2 linked regions of the Arabidopsis thaliana genome follow. The protein of the gene in region 2 interacts with the protein of the main gene of each other region in a pairwise test. Each region holds a gene or a part of one and is shown on either strand. Other genes may lie near its edges.

Evidence for each region. The genes of interacting proteins can lie anywhere in the genome.
Region 1: the proteins of AT2G36026 (region 2) and AT3G57600 interact in a two-hybrid assay, tested with the Arabidopsis thaliana proteins (one large-scale study listed by BioGRID).

What each region holds. Positions count from the first base shown.
Region 1 is NC_003074.8:21,326,796-21,334,449, reverse strand, and holds AT3G57600 (Integrase-type DNA-binding superfamily protein), read right to left. Parts: upstream 1,677-7,654; 5' UTR 1,610-1,676; coding exon 776-1,609; 3' UTR 532-775; downstream 1-531. Other genes in the region: AT3G57590 (F-box and associated interaction domains-containing protein), read left to right, coding at 3,054-4,268; AT3G57587 (Ta11-like non-LTR retrotransposon), read right to left, coding at 5,093-6,187. UniProt on the Arabidopsis thaliana protein: Transcriptional activator that binds specifically to the DNA sequence 5'-[AG]CCGAC-3'. Binding to the C-repeat/DRE element mediates high salinity-inducible transcription.
Region 2 is NC_003071.7:15,120,588-15,131,907, reverse strand, and holds AT2G36026 (Ovate family protein), read right to left. Parts: upstream 4,644-11,320; coding exon 4,092-4,643; downstream 1-4,091. Other genes in the region: AT2G36030 (uncharacterized protein), read left to right, coding at 4,137-4,349; HVA22J (HVA22-like protein J), read left to right, coding at 6,768-6,799, 6,889-6,987, 7,414-7,470, 7,578-7,641, 7,745-7,879, 7,989-8,072, 8,179-8,484; E2F3 (E2F transcription factor 3), read right to left, coding at 9,015-9,112, 9,208-9,277, 9,404-9,647, 9,821-9,897, 9,987-10,052, 10,173-10,221, 10,460-10,518, 10,617-10,668 and 3 more.

The DNA of each region.
Region 1 (7,654 bases), on a different chromosome or scaffold from region 2:
TTATTACTCTCTTTGGAATGACTAGTGTATCTGTTGCATTGTTTCTAATATTGGAATGAAGAGGAATTCTGTGCTTAAGCAGTGAGGTTGCTATATTCATAATGTTTAAGCTTTCGTGTTTGATCTTACTCTATTCGTTCCATTGATAAGAGATCCTTTTATGTCTTAAACCTGAGAAAGTCGTGAAGGTTCATTGTAGCTGCTGTTTATGCTTGTTGAATATCTGTGGATGTTATCTATACTTAGCAAATTTCTTCAGATTTTGATCAGTGCTGGCAGGTGAAACTTTCTGGTGGGAGTTTATGCATCGTGTGATATGTCTCTAGGTTATTCAGTTTTGTTGTTTTCTTTTCTCGACAGAAAGTTTGCGTTGGTCAGTTCGAAGGCGAATCTTAAAAATTTGTTCATACCATCATGATCTTTATTTATTGATCATGAGTTTCTAGTATTATTGAGATATTAGATGTGATCTCCATGAAAGGGGATATGATAGGTAAGCTTTTTTGCATTGTTACTTGCACAAAACATATCATTCTATTAGGGCCGTGACTTTCACTTACTATTTAAACTATCGAGCTAAAGGATAGCGAAAAAATGAACATGCTTCATTAATATACCAAAAAAAGCGAACAACTCGGTTGTACACTGACTCACTTTATTGCTGCATAATAAAAGACTGCACTCTCACTACCTATGTCTCTTTTCCAAAACGCTACACTAAATCCAAAACCATTTGTGTACTTCTGAATCTTGATCTACCTTAAATTGCTTTTACTCAATCTAAGCTTCCGTAGTAGTCCCAGATGGAAGGGAAGGATACATCATCCTCAAAATCATAGCTTCCGAAGTTGCTGGAGTCAAATTGCATAGTTGTGGTTTCACTTCTTGGCATCTCGATCAGGGTATCCCAGCTGAAATTCTCAGTTCTGAAAGGACTTCCAGTTTCTTCTTGCTCGTTCCATGGTGGAGGGGAATGACACTCTGCTACCTCACTTGGTTCTGCTTCATTTTCATCCTTCAAGATTCCTAGTTGCTGAAGAAACTCGGTCAGGTCGATCTCTGGTTTCTTCTGATCACCACCTTCGAACATATTGTCTGTTTCTCCCTTGCTGGTCTTCTCATCAAGAAAGCTAGTATTAGTTTTTGATTCGGTGGAGGAAGAACTAGAAGAATAGGATTGAGATAAAAGTCCAGTTTTCTTGAGTTCTTCTAGTCTTTGCTGGATTATGTGAACACTAGGCTGAGCATTCACGTTTAGCATACCACATGAAGGAAACATAGATATAAACTTCCTTGAAGGTACCCATTTGAACCTCTGAGAGTTACTCAGAGAAGGTCTTGTATTCCGCTGAAGATGAGGTAAGTTGAGGTATGCGTCGTGCCCATAGAGTTTCAAGGCAGCCTCATCATAAGCCATAGCTGCTTCTTCAGCTGTAGCGAAAGAGCCAAGCCAAAGTCTTGCCCTCTTCTTGGGCTCTCTGATCTCAGCCACCCATTTGCCCCAAGTCCTTTGCCTGACTCCACGGTACTGACAAAGAGCGTTTTGTGGACCGCCTTTACCCCGAGCAGGACCCTTCTTCCATTGTTTCATTGAGGATGATTTCTCCATTTGTGTTGTAGTGGAGAAGAAGATTGATAGTGAAGAAGGAAGAAGAGGATATGATAATGGAGCTTAGAAAGAGTATGTGAGTGCTTAAATAATGTCACGGTTCGCTTCAATTCCTAGAGAATTGCTTTTTTCACCCGCGCATGTGACCGTTGCTTTTCTCATATTCTGTTATTTTCAAAAGAAAAAAAAAAAAAAAAACTTTTAACCATTTTTGATCTCAACTTCATATTTATATAATTCTTCTACCTAGGCTCAAACTAGAATAATATAATCCCTAGTTCTTGGTGTCCCCTGCATTCCAAACAGTCGCAATGCCAACCTTATTAGTTATTACACCTTTTTGATGATAGCTTAAGAAGTTAGAACAATTGCACACACACATTTTTTTTTTTTTTGGATTATTATGTTCAAAAATTTCTGTTAATCATCAGGAACTCAAATGTTTTTTTTTTTGTTTTTCTTTGTTATGACTAGCTCTAATATTTTACTTGTACATGTTACCAAGATATCTAGCGAGACAAGGTTTTTTGGGTTCCTAGAATTATTTTTCTTGAGGACACTTTAAAGCTTTAAAGCTTTTACGATATCTCATCTTTATCTTTTTGTTGTTTCCTTCTTTCGTCGGAGAATCGGAGAGCCATGCATGAGAAAAAGAGAGGCAAGAGTCACGAGTCGTCGCAGCACACAAGAATCACATGTTCGATCGTGAGAGTGAAGTGACGTGTTTTCTTCATTCTCGAGATTTTCAGATTTAAGCGCCGCTCCCTTCACCATTATCCCATGCTTCTTCCTTCCTCTCTTACCATCACATTTAACTCACCACATTGTTCCCTAATCCCATTTATTTTAATAGTATATGACTTGTACATAATTCTACACAAATCCCAAAAAATAAAGAAAAAGTAATAACTGAACCCATTTTCTTCTGTTTCACTAAAGCAAAAACACAAACTGATTATATTTCTATTTCGTTTTTATTGATTGTTTAATCCAAAAAAAGGAGTGCTAAGCCTAATAAATTTATCTCTGTATTGACACATTTGTCACCAGATACTAAGCTTTTGCTTTAGCCATTAAACAATTGTTCTTCATCCTAAATCAAAAAGCAAGCTCTACCTCTACTGTCTTTTTTTTTTGTTGCTAATAGTAGCTAGAGATTCCATAACCAGTTACCAAAACATATTTGGTCTTTACATTTTACATGATATTTAGAATCCCTGTGAAAACTAATCCTTCATTCGCTACCACATATCTAACATACCGATTGGCACGTGAGAGAACAAACCAAAAGTCCCAATTATCGCAATGAATAAATGGGCTTAGCTCATTCACAACTATGCTAAAGCCCAAAGGCCCATACAATCCCAATCTTGTTGCGTCGTATTAAACCTTCTCCTTCTCCGACGAAACAATCACACACTCCGGCGGCAATAAACGCTTCTTCATGGAACCAATCCCAAATGATCTCATTCTCGAGATCTTCTCGAGATTGCCGGCGAAGTCAGTCATTGGATTTCGTACCTTGTCGAAGCACTGGGCGTCTATGCTTCGCAGTCCAGTTTTCACCGAGCTCTTCCTGACCAGATCCTCGAATCGTCCACGTCTGCTGTTTGCTGCCGAACGAAATGGTGAGTGGCTCTTCTTCTCGTCGCCGCAGCCACAGAATCGATATGAGAAGTCTTCTCATTTGGATTATCATACAAAATTCTCAGGAGACGTAAGCCGATTCATTTGTAGCTATGTCTCAGGTTTGCTCTGTTTCCCTGATTTGTGGCTCTCAAAAGATGCATCGCCTGTGATTTGTAACCCTACCACAGGAATGTATGAGAGCTTACCTGATCTGATGAGGTACAAAAATGCTCGAGGCTTTCTAGGGTTTGATCCCATTGGTAAGCAATTCAAGGTATTGTCTGAGGCTTATCCATTTTCTGATCAAAGGGAACATCATGAGATTCTGACATTAGGAACTGAGGAACTGAGCTGGAGGAGTAATATCATTAGTTGTCCTGCATATGATCGTTCTTTGAGTGAAGGAATATGTATCAATGGAGTTTTGTATTACTTAGCTCAGACTCTTGGTGTACCGTCTTGTGTGATCATTTGCTTTGATGTAAGGTCTGAGGAATTTAAGTATTTTGACGCAGGATGCTTTAATGATCAACTTGATGATACTAGTGGGTTGATTTTGGTAAACTATGAGGGTAAATTAAGTGGGATTAATTGGAAGTATGGTCAAGCTGGTGAAAGGCGCACCGTTGAGTTGCGTATGTGGGTTCTAGAGGATGCCGAGAAGCATGAATGGGTTAAATATGTGTACACTCTGCCGGAGAATGAAGTCCTTGATTCCTGCGACTTTTCAGTTGCTGGAGTGACTACTAGAGGTGATATTGTTTTGTGTATGAAATATACATGTAAACCGTTTTATGTGTTCTACTTCAATCCCGAGAGGAACACTCTCCAGAGCGTTGAAATCCAAGATTTTGGAGCTAACCTTGAAGCGGTTGAGAATTGTGGTAGAGTTTATGCTTTTGTTAACCATGTAGAGGATCTTCGGGTTAACAAAGGGAAGCAACTCAAGTCAAGCATCTCTCAAGTCAAGCATCTCTGCTCATGCTGTAACAAAGTATCGCAGCCTGATTATCATTACCAAAAGGCTTAAACCAAAGGGAGAGAAGAAATGAAAGAGACAGTAGGGAAGAAAAGAGACAAGGGATGAGGTAAAAAGCAGTAGGGCATGTCATATATGTGTTTATGTTCTTTAGTTATAGACGTTGGAAGATCTGTGAGTATGAATCAAATCTAGCTTTGGTAGTGTATTACAAATATTTTGAAGTGAATCGTATTGTAGCATTGTTGACCTTTTTTTGGTTAATCAATTTTTCCTATAGTTTAATGATATCTTCTACCCGAAATTAAAGTGCAATTTCTACTGTCTATTAAATTTCTGTACTCTGGTATCATTATTTTGTATTTTAAAAAGTAGCTGGAGATTCTATACCCAAACTTATTTGGTCTTTGCATTTCACATAATTTTATAGAATCTCTACGAAAAGTTAGGCCAATACCATCGTTTGCTTGCTAGCACACATACGGACTTCATTGGCACATGAGAGAACAAACCATAAATTACGACAATGAATAAATGAGCTCATTCACAATTACGCTAAAGCCCAAAGGCCCATCAAATTCACTGTCTATTTCTTTCGTTTTTTTTTTTTTTTTTCCCTAAAAGTTATCTTTCATTCATTCATGTCATTGTGTTCTTACAAAAAGTGTTTGAGTGGTCTAACCACTTACAAACCTTTGATTCAAACATAACAAGATGATCTTAGAAGTAAAACGAGAAACATGAAATAATAAACCTGAAACTTAACAAAGTTAAGGATATGTCAGAACCAAAAAAACATATCCAACTACTTGAAGCTGCTATCCTAGATTCCCTGTAGTCTTCAACAAAAATTGACAGAAGTCTTGTTAGAGTGGTTATCTCTTTTTGGGAGGTTTCAGACTCTCTCCCATTCTTGAAGCACTGTGTAGACGAGTTTGAAGTCTAGGATCCTCTGCTTCTCTTCTTACTTCCTGTCTTCTTGAGGATTGACCGACTTCAAAGACTCTGTTGTTATCATGATTAGGAGTGTCTGCTCTTGTTGGAGTGGTACTAGAACTCGATGACCATTGTTGTCTTGCAGTACTAGATTCTCCAACATGTAATGTATGAGTATCTCTAACTGATGCATAGTATGGATACGCAGCTCTCAATTCTTCAGGATTCAGTGGTGGATGAGCAATTCTAGGAGGCGGTGTCACAGGAGCAGGAAATGAAGTCTCCGTCATCTGCGATTGAGAGTTCAAGCTTGACCTATGAACACTGTCTCTGAAGACAGCTCTTTCTCTGGCTATGCTGTGGGGACGTGGTCTATAGGGACAATAAGCTCTGTTGTGCGTAAACCTGAAGCAACTGCTACAGATTCTTCTGAGGCGCTCATATTGAAATCTGATGGTAACCACTTCTCCCGAATCAAAGATGATTCGTTGGAAGAATCTGAGCCTGTCTGTGATGCCAAAACGCACTCTAACTCGGATATAAGTAATTTGAGTAGATGTTGCGTCATGATGATCCAGCATGATGACTTCTCCTAAGTCACGTGCTATCTCTAGAGCCGTCTCTTCACACACATAGGGCAGGGGAATTCCTCTAATCTGCACCCAAAGATCAATAGAAGTAACAAAGTTAAGAGCAGGAGCAGGTTCCCATCTTTGAGTAGCCACGAACCAGTTGTTGAAAATCCATGGTTCTCTTCTTTGTACTGACTGCAAGTCAACTTCATTTTGGAAGAGAAATTGAACATAAGTTGCATCCAGAATTCTTCCATGGACATGCACCGTCATTCCCCAGTACCGAGGTAAGGCTGCAATCACCGCGTTCAAGTTTTGGACTCTTGGGTTGAGAGGTCTTGCAATTATACTCAGTCGATTGAACTCTTCAACATACACATAAGCTTCATGGGGAATGAAGAGGGCTGGATCCTCAGGACCTAGATCCAGGCCTTGAATTTCATCCCACAATTCATCTGCCATGGAGGTAAGATTGAAAAGAGAAAAGGAACAAGAAAGACTGAGACCTAATGACGTAAAGGAGTAAACACTTATAATATATAGACTCTAACCTTAATGAAAAAATTAGGAAAAAAGAAATTATTAAAAAACTAGACTCGAAGAACCTAAGTGGAAATCCTAAACTTACTAAACCTTTGACTGAAGAAAACAATCATTAGAAAAGGACAAAAACTAATCCACCTCCACACCTAACATTCTATTTGATTAACAACTCAGCAATTAATCTGAGCATCTAATTCCCAAAGATGACACCTCCGACTGATTTGATAATCTGAGTTAAACCACCTGTAACCAAATCAAGCCTCCAATGAACACTGTCACAATCTCCCTAGCTGAGTCATTTCGGAAGCAAAGAGATTTCCTAGCCAATGGGGAAAACCCCGAGAGACATAAGATTGCCATCTGTGCCCAGTAATAACACTCTTAGCAATCTCAAAAGCTCCTTTATTACAGTGTTTTGGTTCCAAAGCCATGAACCAACCACTTTTCTTTTGTGATAACTTCAAGAGTTGACTTGTATGGCCTAATAATGATGGCCATTCTTCTGGTTTGTAGAGAGCTTTAATAATGTCATGTGTTGAGGCTCTGAAAGTGACTCTGTCAAAATGATGTTGTGCCATGCTTGTAAGAGCCCATTCCCAACTTCTAATCTTTGCATCCAACATAGAATGAACATGAGAATAAGATCTCCTACTATGAAGTAACACCTTTCCCAGAGCATCTCTCACAACCCAAGATGCACCAGAAGCTTGTAAACGATTAGACCAGGCCACACCAATATTGCATTTAATCTCATTCTGAGGAGGAGGACTCCAATTCAACTTTGACTTTGATTCCTTGATACAGACATCTTGTTGGGCTGAACACCATTGATTACAATCCACATAAGCTTTGTCTACAATGCTTTGAGTCACAGAAGTAACTCCCTCAAACAGAATTTTATTCCTATGTTTCCATAAGACCCAGATTATCCAAGGACTAACATAACTCACATTACTAGAACTACTCAGTTTCTGACAATAGTTCAAAACATGGTCCATATTAGTAAAGATTGAAGATCCAAAACCTTTTTCAGGGGATTGCATAAGGGACAGCGCCCAGACTTGTCTTGCCAATGGACATTGGAATAAAATGTGGTTAATTGTTTCATTCTCCTCATTACACATTAAGCATCCATCCATTGCCTTGATACCACGAGTTCTTAGTCTGTCTTCCACTGCTACAGCTCCTTTTAAGACTTTCCATAAGAAGACCTTAATTTTAGGCGCCGTATGAAGACTCCAAATACTGCAAAAAAGAGGGTTTACTGAAGGGTTCACTGCAGCCTCTTGATAAATCTTTTGATGAGCTTGTCGACTAATCAGATCATACCCTGATTTAACCGTGTAAATGCCATTATTATTGCCAGACCAACAATAAGAATCATTT
Region 2 (11,320 bases):
ATTATATACGAGTCTTGTTGGATGAACTTGAAGTTATGTATTTTAGTTATGGGATTTTGTGATGAAAAACCATTGTTTCTAAAAGAGAACCGAACCACCCGGTCATATCGCTCTAACTCTGATTTTAAAGAATATATAGGTTGGTTCAATTCTAATCACACAATTTGTTTAGCCAACACACGAACACCGGTGTAAATACTAAATAGTGTCGATCAGTGATTACACACATAAAAAAAAGAAGAGTTTCTATTTTGATGTAAGTTTTTTGGATTTTGTAGTGGTACCAAGTACCAATTGGTACCACCCATCCGATGGTCCAAGCGTGGCTTTTGAAAAAATAAAACAGCAACTTTGTTAATTTTGTACGTTAACAAAAAAAAAAGTTTGATAAGTTTTGTACGTTAAGTAGACTGAAAACAAATTTAAGCAAATTATTTTGTTGAAGCGGAATGAAAATAAATACATCTTGTAGTTTGCATGCAAATAAAAAACTACTCAATAGCATGTTTCAGTCTCGTTTTACCTACAGAAAACAAATACAGTAGATGAAAAAACAAAAATTATCATTAAACGATCATAAAAAAAAACGAAACTCTGTACACTAAATTTCCAAACAATATTTTTAACCATAATACCCCATTTGTTTATTATTCTATTTACGAAGTTTATATATTTTAAAAGAGTTTCAATAATGACAAAAATAAATAATTTATAATAAAGTAAAAGAAAATTATAATTTTGATGCATATATGTACAATGAATGAGATGAAATGAATTATAGTATTTTATTATTATTATTATTTTATAAAACAAGTGTCTCTTCTAGAGAAATTAATAGTTTTGGCTTAACTTTTTTATTTATTAACGATTAAAAAAAATACTTATGTATTGTGAACAAAGACAAACAAATATGTTATACTGAATTAAAATATATTGTTTTGTTGTTGTTATTAAAATATATACTATACATACACGAGTTCTCTCTTGTCTTCTCTCTTGTCTTCTCTTTTGTCTTTTCTCTTGTCGATTCTTAGCAACTGATCTCTCTAATTTTTTAGCAGCAAAACTCTTCCAAGATCATGGATGCATCAGATTCCAACATGAAGGACGGATTTAACGTGGAGGAAGAGTTCCAGAAAGTGGAGGAGCAGGTAAGCAAGACTTATGAAGAGAAGAAGACATTCAAGGTGAGGAGTATTGATGGGGATAAATTAGGTTTTGCATTGTCCGAAAGTTCGAGATCTGAATCAGACGAAGAATGAAGATGGCGATAGCGACATGATGGTCATAGCAAAATTACATCTCCATGCTATTTATTATTTATTTTATGTTATTGAATTGTAATACTTGTATATTATTTTATGTTATTGAATTATTGTTATTGAATTTATGTCAAAAAAAAATGTAAAGTTTGTACACAATTGATTTTTGAGGTTTTCTTACAATTTAAATATTTTTTAAAAAAATTGAATTAATTTTATATATAAACAGACAGAATGTATGTTTTATTTTAAATAAATATGTAATTTTAATAAAAATTGATTTAGTAAGCTATACAATACTTATTGATTTGTGACCACAAACTTCACTCTTTCGATGGCTGGTTTGATTTAAATATTTTACCTATTTCTGGCTGAGTTTTTCACCTTGTTAAATGTTTTCACTAGGTAAAGTTCTTCGCTTTAATTTCTTGTACCTGATAGGCTGATAGCATTTACGAGTTAAAAAGACAAAAATAAGAATAGTTTCTAACCAATTCAATGATGAACTAGAAATTACAGGGTCAGTAAAGAATTACATTGTTTGGGGACCAATGTTAAATCTTGTACGACAAAACTTTTATAAGAAAAATGTAATTTCTTGAAATGTCTGTAGAACTGAGTGGGCCACTAGACAAAAACTAATAATTACAATTTTCATTTCTTTGGCAACAATAATTACAACTATTTTAAAGGATGGATCGTATCGTATCGGAAACTGTAAGAAGGGTTCGTCCAAAGTATCATCATCAATTACACAACATAGGAAGAAGTAATGCTGTAATAAAATTGTACATTTAAGTGTCTGCGTCGCTATTTATTTATGTAATTAATATTACACCCTCTTTCTAATAATTACGAGTATCAAATCCCGATGCTCCCTCATGTCTTTTACCGCCCAAATCCACAGGTTCGCTACTTTTCTATGACTGTTGTATATTCATTATGGGTAGTAAAGAATCATTGTGGGGAAAAAAATATTACTAGTTCAAGTAGTGTATTTTTTTGTCGCACTATAATTGTAGTCCTTTGTTTGAATTAGTTTGTCTCACTGAATTAGTTTTGTCACTTACAACTAGCATGTATAATGATTGATTTGAAGATGGATTGTGATATTAATATAAATAACAAACTAATAAAACGCCATAATAATAAACTATTTACCATTAAAAAACACACATGTCTAAGTGGCTCGCAGATTTGGAGATAATACATGAAATGGTTGCCATATCTATCAACATGCTTTTAGGTGTCTAAACACTTGCAATCAAAATAGTACTGTGGTATACACATGATCCACACATCCATAAGACATCCATTTTTCATTTGATATCTGACATAGTGACATGTGCGAATCAAGTCTTGTCTTATCTGGCGTCTTTCCACAATCATAACTAATGATTAACACTTGCCGTACTGAATCATCTTTACACACGATGATCCATTCTTCCATAACACGATCATGATCATACCGTACCATTGATCATATATATTTCCTAATCTGACCGTGCATAATTATTGATTAATTACACATATTAACCACGAATTAATTACACATATTATTATGAATTCGAATAATAAATCTTGTGGCATATTGCTAGAGTTTCTCTTTATGTGGTTATAATTCTCAATGAATGAATGTAATATTCTATTGGTATGCCCCATGGTAGATTGCTATTTTGGATTTGCCACACTAAACACACCGACATACTTAATGTTCCTTACTAATATACTAGCACACTTCCAAAGTATACAGCATAGAGTCCGAAATTGGCAATAAAGGATTATATTACCAGACTGATATACATCCCGAGATTGGTACTCAAGATACTAGCACGTGGCGAAAGTCTCGGTGTGAACCTAGTAACAAGCTGAATTAGGCTAGTCCTCAACATGCTATTATATTGCTAATACATCTTTAGCTAGCACATGAGGTTAAAGACACAAACTTAAAGTCACATATTTGAAGATCTGTACATACTTCAAGACATATATTCAAGTCCAAAATAAGCATTCTTCTAATGGTTGGTCCCCATAAACTACCAAAACATTTGTTACATATCGCTTTCTAATTCGTCATTGCAAAAGTTTTTGTACCCCAAAAATTAATGCACAACGGCCAAACGAAAAGAAGTTATCTATTGGAAAAATATGTATGCAATATAGTCTATAAATACTGTCCAGTGTCCACAAATATTATTATCAAAGACCTGTACAGTTCATATATAAATATATATATATATATATATGAAAATATTATATACCTAACGTTCTATAAAGTTTTCGGCTATGAAAATATTTTCGTCGACGGGGTAAATAATATGATTTAAATGCCCTTTTCGTACATTTTATATGTCTATGACCACATATTACTTGCTTCTTTTTTTTCTTTTTCTTAAAACACATATTACTTGCTAAAATGCATAATATGTGAATGTATATTTGTTAAATATCTTAAAATCCGCACTGTGATCATGAATTCATGATAATAAATAAATAAAAAGATTTCACGTGGACTTGTTTCCGGAACCTTCACGTCATCATCCTAATGAGAGTCACGAGTGTCACAAGATCTTTAAAACTTCTATTCTTATCGATTTTGGCCGAATATTACTACAAAAATCAACATTGAAACAAGTAGCAACCATATTATAATTATTCTACCATTGTCGTTACACTTGGTTAAAAGACAAAGAAGAAAATCCCAAAGCTAAGATAAGAAGTTAAAAAGCACAAACCCAATAATATATTGACACGTCAGTAGTAGTAAAATGGATAGTTAACGTGTCAATACATTATTGGTGACGTGGCATAATTCGTAGTTAAAAAAGGTTACTTCGAGCGGTGGTAGTGGTTACGGTGTGACGCACGTGAGCCATGACGGTGGACGAGTGGAGACTCTTGGACGTCTCCACGGCGTTTGGCAGCGGAGAAAACTCCGTCCCAGATTTCGGAGAAAGCGCGGATGATGATGCCGTGGTGGTATGGCTCGTTAAGGGAGAGGAAGCAGTGGAGAAGCTCTCTGAGATCGTTTTTGGAGTAAATCTCGTTCTCGAGAATCATCTGAAGCATGGACTGTCGGAAATCTAGGTAAGGATCGTCTGAGTCTTTCTCGACGGCGACAGCGGCGGCGGAGGGTGTTGCCGAGGAGGAAGAGGTGTCAGAGAACCAGTGGGAGGTGGAGGGAACGGCGGAGGAAGAGGAGGCCGTGGTGGGGGTGGAGGAGTGGCAGTGGCCGTAATTAGAGGAGTAGAGGCGGGGCTTTTTGGGGGAAGGGTTGAAAAAAGAAGACAAGCTTGGGAACTTACAGTTGCCACAGCCGATGTCTACGACAGAGACTGCCTTAAGGACCATCTTCTTCTTCTTGCTTTTGCCTGTCGTCATTGCTTTGCTCTTTCTTTGTCTCTCTGTCTCTTACTCCAAGATGAAATAGATTTTAGAGAGAGAGTGTGTGAGGGAGAGTGAGTCTACTTGGATTGGTATTAAAGGGTGCATGTGGTGACTGAGGTGGATTAATGAGAAGTAAACTCTTAGCAACAATATTTAATTTGATGTTCAATGACAGTTTATAATTTCTTTTAAATTTTTGTGAGCTTTTAAAAATATGTTAGTAAATGTCTACATTCATGAGCATTAATGTGACATATACTTACTCCACTGATCTATGAAAATTATGAGATGTGAATATAGGATTATTATTTAAGTTGACTATAATGAACTATAATGGTATTTCATATATAATTAAGCCTTCCCATTACGATTTAGGTTCTAGTTGGACGATCTATATTTTTCTTTTTGTCAAATCTAACCTTTTTTTTCTTCAAAAAGTCAGATGATCTTTAGTATGTCATTTGCATTCAATAGTTATACTATACGGTCGTTAATTCATTTCATACACAATTATTTTAAACTACGTTTTAAATTTTAATTCGAATATATTATTTTTTTAGGATTTACACATGGTGTTAACAAATATTACAAGAGAAGTTGTAGAAGTACTCAATAAGAGTTTGTTTTACATGGATTTGTGTTGGGCCTTCATGAGCTTTGTACAGCGCCTTTACAACACTCAAATAAATTGTCACTCAAGGGATATAAACCCAAAGGCCGTAGCTCCTCCAACACAAATCCAGACCACTCTTTGTTTCCAGTATTACTATTATTCCTCTAAGTACATTAGAAAGGTGTATAAACTTTGTTTTACAACATATAATAGAAAAATAAACATTACTGTTAAACAATACAAAACTTTACAGAAAACGTACAGTATGTTTAATTATTGATAGATTAATATTTAGAGGCCGATGAAAGGTGGAAGTTTTTTTATGGGAACCTGGTAGACATAGAATGTTGTAATAATATTGTCCATCAATCTGATTTTCGATTTGAGATTACCTAGTGTAAAATATAAGTAACATAAGTAACAACTCACTTATGATCACTGCACTATTAAGTACTTCTTCCTCAATTCCTTATTACTCCAAATTCTACAAAAAAAAGTTTGTTGCAAAAAGATACAAATTTTAATTTTTCTATACAAATTTTAAGTGTGGAAATTGTTAATCACAAAAAATAATACATTTAGGATCAATTTTTTTCATGTGTGAAAAACTTAGAATTTGGATTAATAAGGAACGGAATTATTTTGAGTTTATGTTTGTTTGGAAAAAAAAAAGACTAGGTTTGCTTCAAATTATCCATTGAATAAAGGATGTTTAGATGAGATTTTAATGGATTTCAAAAGATATTCTAGTAGTTTATAGAATTTCGTATTTAGTATTTTTTTTGAAGGACAGCAGAAGAATATATATTTATTAGTGTAAAATCAGTCAAACTTAATTAATTTGATTCTTCAAGGACTTTTTTTGTAAATTCATATGAAGCGTCGAACAATGTTAAATAACGAGGATAATGAGACAACGGTCAAACGGTCAAACGGTAAACCCGTTCCTCTTACCCCCAAATTCAAGTAGCTTTTGTGGCAAGAAACCGTTTACTTTTTGTAATTTTTTTGTTTGTTTATTGACGTTTATATATTTCTAAAAAAACTAAACCCTGATGTATTCCAATTTTAGAACTTACGCGTCTTCATAATCTTCCTCTTTTTTTCTTTGTCTTTGATATTCAAAGTTTTTGTTTATTTTTTCTTTGCTTAACCCGGAGAGACACCCTCTCCATAAATTTAGGTTTGTTTATAACAACTTATACATATTTTTTTCTCTTCTAATAATAAAACTCTGTAACCATTAAACATGGTTTTGATCTCATTTGCAGTTTTGATCCCTCTGGGTTCCTTGAAGAAAAAAACACCAATTCCATTCATATTCTTCTTCATACGTTCAATAATTCTTACGAGGACGAGATCTTCCTAACGTCTTTGATCTTCTTCATTAGGTTCATTTGCATTTGTTAAACGCTTAAAAATGGATCTATTCGTCTGATATATATATGATTGTTGAATCGGTTTTGTTATGATTGTAACAGGAGATAAGTCTAAACTGGTCGAAGATGTTGGGAGATTTCATCATCAGACTCCTTGTGTATGTCCTAACCATATCTCTTTTTTTCTTTTGATTAATTAATCATGTATATTGATGTATATATATAATTGAAATGGTGAGAATGGCAGATTGATATTAGGGTACACATACCCAGCATTCGAATGCTTTAAAACGGTGGAGAAGAACAAAGTTGATATCGAGGAACTCAGATTTTGGTGCCAATACTGGTATTGAATTATTTATATATGATCCCCTTTTTTCTATCCTCGATACTTTTAAACATTCATATATAATGTGTAGTGTATGTAGTAGATTTGTAGTGATAGGCAAATCGATTTTAGTTCGATCATAGTGATATACTTTTCTCTGTTATGGGTTTTTGTTTGATTTTAAAAGAGAAAAAAAATCAAAATTCCGTTAAGTTGATGTCTTCTGCTAGAAAAACCATTTATGAATACACCTCATCTTTTGTACAAGTCTTTGGTTTCGAACGTTGATTATATACCTAGTCTGGGGATTACTGGGACAATTGTATTAGGTTTATTTTAAAGATATCTCAATATATGTGATGCACGTAATTCTAATATGATAGTTTATTGTCAATATGTACTCGAAAATATTAATTTGTTAAACATTTGTATTTGAATAATTAGGATACTTTTGGCGCTAATTTCATCATTCGAGAGGGTTGGCGATTTTTTTATCTCATGGTAAGTAAGTTTTATTATTAGTTAATTCATGCCTTAATCCATCTCTGTCTTAAAAAATATTAACAATCATCAAATAATTAATTGATATATGCAATTATTATTTGCAGGTTACCGTTATACGGAGAGATGAAAGTAGTCTTCTTCGTATATCTCTGGTACCCTAAAACAAAGGTAATATAATTTTTCCTTTTAAAAAGTGATTAGTTGGATCATAATTAATTAGTGGTTTATGGTGATGTACAAATAATAATAACGAAATAAATAATGAATGAAGGGAACGAGACATGTGTATGAAACATTGTTGAAGCCATACATGGCTCAACACGAGACAGAGATTGACAGAAAGATCATGGAGTTGCGAGCTCGAGCTTGGGACTTTTTCATCTTTTACTTCAACAACTTCGCCCAGGTCCTTTTTTAAATTATCTTTCTATTACTTATATATACAAATTGTTCTTTTTAAAGGTTTGACTAAATTATTATAAGATTAACAACATACATATAATGTTGATGCACAGGCCGGTCAATCCACCTTGATCCAGGGTTTTCAGTACGTACTCGCCCAATCGGTCCGGTTCTCTGCCGCTGCAGCTAACCAACCGGTACTTTTCTATCGCTTTTGATTTTCGTTTTATGTACTAATGCAAACACAATCTTGTGTTTATTACCTCCCTTTTGCACTTTTGAATTTTTGTGTTTGTGCTAAAGCCAACGGAGAGGAACGTGAACATGAACGCGCAGTCACCGGTGGAGATGGACAATGATCCTCCATCACCGCGCGCTCCAAGACCGCTGAACAAATCACTATCTGCGTTGCGATCGCTAGAGAAGCAAACAAGCAGAGGGAGGAAGTGGCCGCCACCAACACCACCACCAACACCAGGCCGAGACTCCGCCGGAACATTTAACGGTGATGATGGAGTCAACATTCCTGATACAATTCCGGGATCACCCCTCACTGATGCTCGAGCTAAGCTGCGACGTTCTAACTCCAGAACTCAGCCAGCGGCATAGTAACGCAAACGTACATATACGTGACTCGACAAAGAAACCCTTTTCGTTTGTTTAAAGATATATAGGGAAAGAAAAGTGAATGAAAGTTTTGAATTGAAACAAAACAGATTTTTTTTTTTTTTTCATGTTTTCTGTAAATTGAAGCAGTAAGTATTAATACAGCGAGAATATTTGTGTTTGTTTTCGTTTAAACTTCCCGCTTTAATCCGGATATTGATTTGAGTTTGGATTTCTTCATATAGCTGATTATAAAGATGCATTTGAGTGGTCAAAAATATTATAATCAAATAGTGTACCAATGCAGCCGATGAAGTACATTCTCTGTTAAACTTACATTAGTTTCTCGGTGCTCCTCTACAACATCACTCTAGGCGATAAATGAATCATAATCTAATGGTACATTGTATGGAACGCACCTGCCATTGGTTCATACACGTTCTGTAGTTGCTCCCTCCTTGTATATGATTTTAGGGAGTGTTGTGAGGTAACACATTTGGGATCAGAAGTTGAGAAGTGTGCTTGGTATTCGATCATCTCGGGGTTGAGTCAACAGCTGTTGGTGCTATTTCGCCCATTCCTGGTGGTGGAGTACTCACGTCGGCTATTCCATAATCCCAATCGATACCAGCTTTTGCTAGAGTTAAGGATTGCGTATTTATATCTTATGCAGATAGATATAGTTAACTATAAGAGAGAAACAAATTGCATATATGCAAAGGATACAGTCAGTTTTCCAAATATCCGTCATGCTAATCTCAGCATTTGAGAGAAGCCAGTAGTCCGACTCATCATTCTGCAAAATACAAGACCAATATCAAACAACAATTATGAGGGTAGATTTTGAGTCAGGTTAATTAGTTTCTCTGCACAACTTCCTATTTCTATGTTCATTATAAAAATAAGCAGGAAGATGGCTTACTTCAACATCAGAGGGAGTAATCTTAAGCATTCCTCCTACTTGCTCTTGCAAATAATTAAGATCAGAGGTATCGCCGGGTTGAGGATGAGGATGATCATGAGACACAATAGCAGTTTCTGGGTTGTCAACAGTTAAGGCTTCGATGTCATGGTGTCCTGTAGATCCTGAGCTAGAAGCAATAGGCAAGCATGCTGGTGGTGCTGCACCACTCCCATTTGTGTCTTCGAATTTCCCTTCAAATTCGCTGAACATGAAGACAAAGTAAAAGCATGTAAACGGGACAATGAATGTTCCAAATCATAGAAATCTTTGTTTTGATACGTTCAATTATATGTATACCATCATCAGTAGAGTATATGAAGTCACGGAAAATGCCAATAACAATGTTTCTATTATTTGAAGCCAACGCATAAATACCTGACGAGGTATACGTCAATAGGTCCCATTGTACTTCTAAGAATGATCCTGTATCTCCTTTGTGGGTGGTCAGCCGCCTGTCAAGTAAAGAAGAAACATTATAATAACGTTTTGGAATCTAACAAAGAATGGCAGATGTCATCCAAGGTCGCTGAAAAAGACTAACTTCATCTGGATCAGGCACTTCCAAAGTTGTGCCATGAGGAGCTTTGACGGCTATCAGAGTCTGGTTCTGCAGAAACAGCAAAGAGAGAGTTAAGATATAAGTGAACAAGAAAGTCTTGGGATCGACATACATACAATCAATTGATCAAATTCCTAGGATTAAACATATGAAATAGGAAAGACAGACCTGGAAACCTGGTAAACTCTTGATATCCTCTTCAGTTACAAAAAGCCATCTGGACAATGTGAACGGATTGGTTAAGTGTCCATCATATAAATAGCACCATCTCATAGCCAGAACAAACTAGCCATACGAAAAGATAGATAGACAGAGATTTATACTTCTGATTCTTTTCATTTTCGCTCAGGTCTCTTAATCTTTCCTCTGTTTGTCTGAATAAAAGTTGTTAAAGCGTCAGCATTGGTTAAATAGATTAATCACAATAACCCAAAACTCTTTAAATGAATGCTTACCTGATTTGGTTGTCTAATGCTTGCTCTTCGAGGGCGAGGTTTTCAATTTCTGCCTGCAGCTACAAAACAAGAACATTAATCAAAGGAAGCGAGAACTACATGATATTTTAAGATTTACATGCACAATGACTTTTGAGTGTATGCTGTTTCACTACACCTGTAATACAGATACGTCAGCATCCTCATCGCCAGGACACGCATCAACTCCCCTAATCAAGTTTATTGATCATCAAGTGAGTTTACATGTAGTTAAATGCTTTCAGTAATATCCCAATGAAGCAGGATATGCTTTCAGTACAAAATACATAAGCATACTATATCATAAAAATCCTCACTTCCAAAGTATTCGATTCTTGAAAGGCTTTTCAATGAGATCTATCCCCTCCAAAACGTTTGTAATATCATATATACGTCGTTTCTGCACCTCCAATGTTTCTGCAGCTTTGTTTAGGTCCAGCATTCCATCTTTGGCTTGTTTAATTAGATTGACGAACTTTTTTGTAAGGAGACCTGAACAGCTTTTATGTCAGCATCTTCATATACACTATAACATGTATCGAATATTAAATATATATGTGAAAAGTTGTTAATTACCTAAAGAACTGTCATAACGACAACTTCCTGATGGAGTAAGTGTGATAGGAGAACCTGCAAGTTGACCAGGAAAGTAATCAGCTCTTCGACTTACTTGTTACTCTAGACATGAAAGATATTTCATAAAAGGATCTAACTATATAGAAAGGCCAAAAGGGGTAGAGAGTCAAGAATACAATTCTTCTTACCAGCGTTTGTCGAGATGGGTGTTTGAGGAGTTGACTTGTTTCCTTTGGCCTTTGACTTGATGTTGACTCTGCCCCCTTT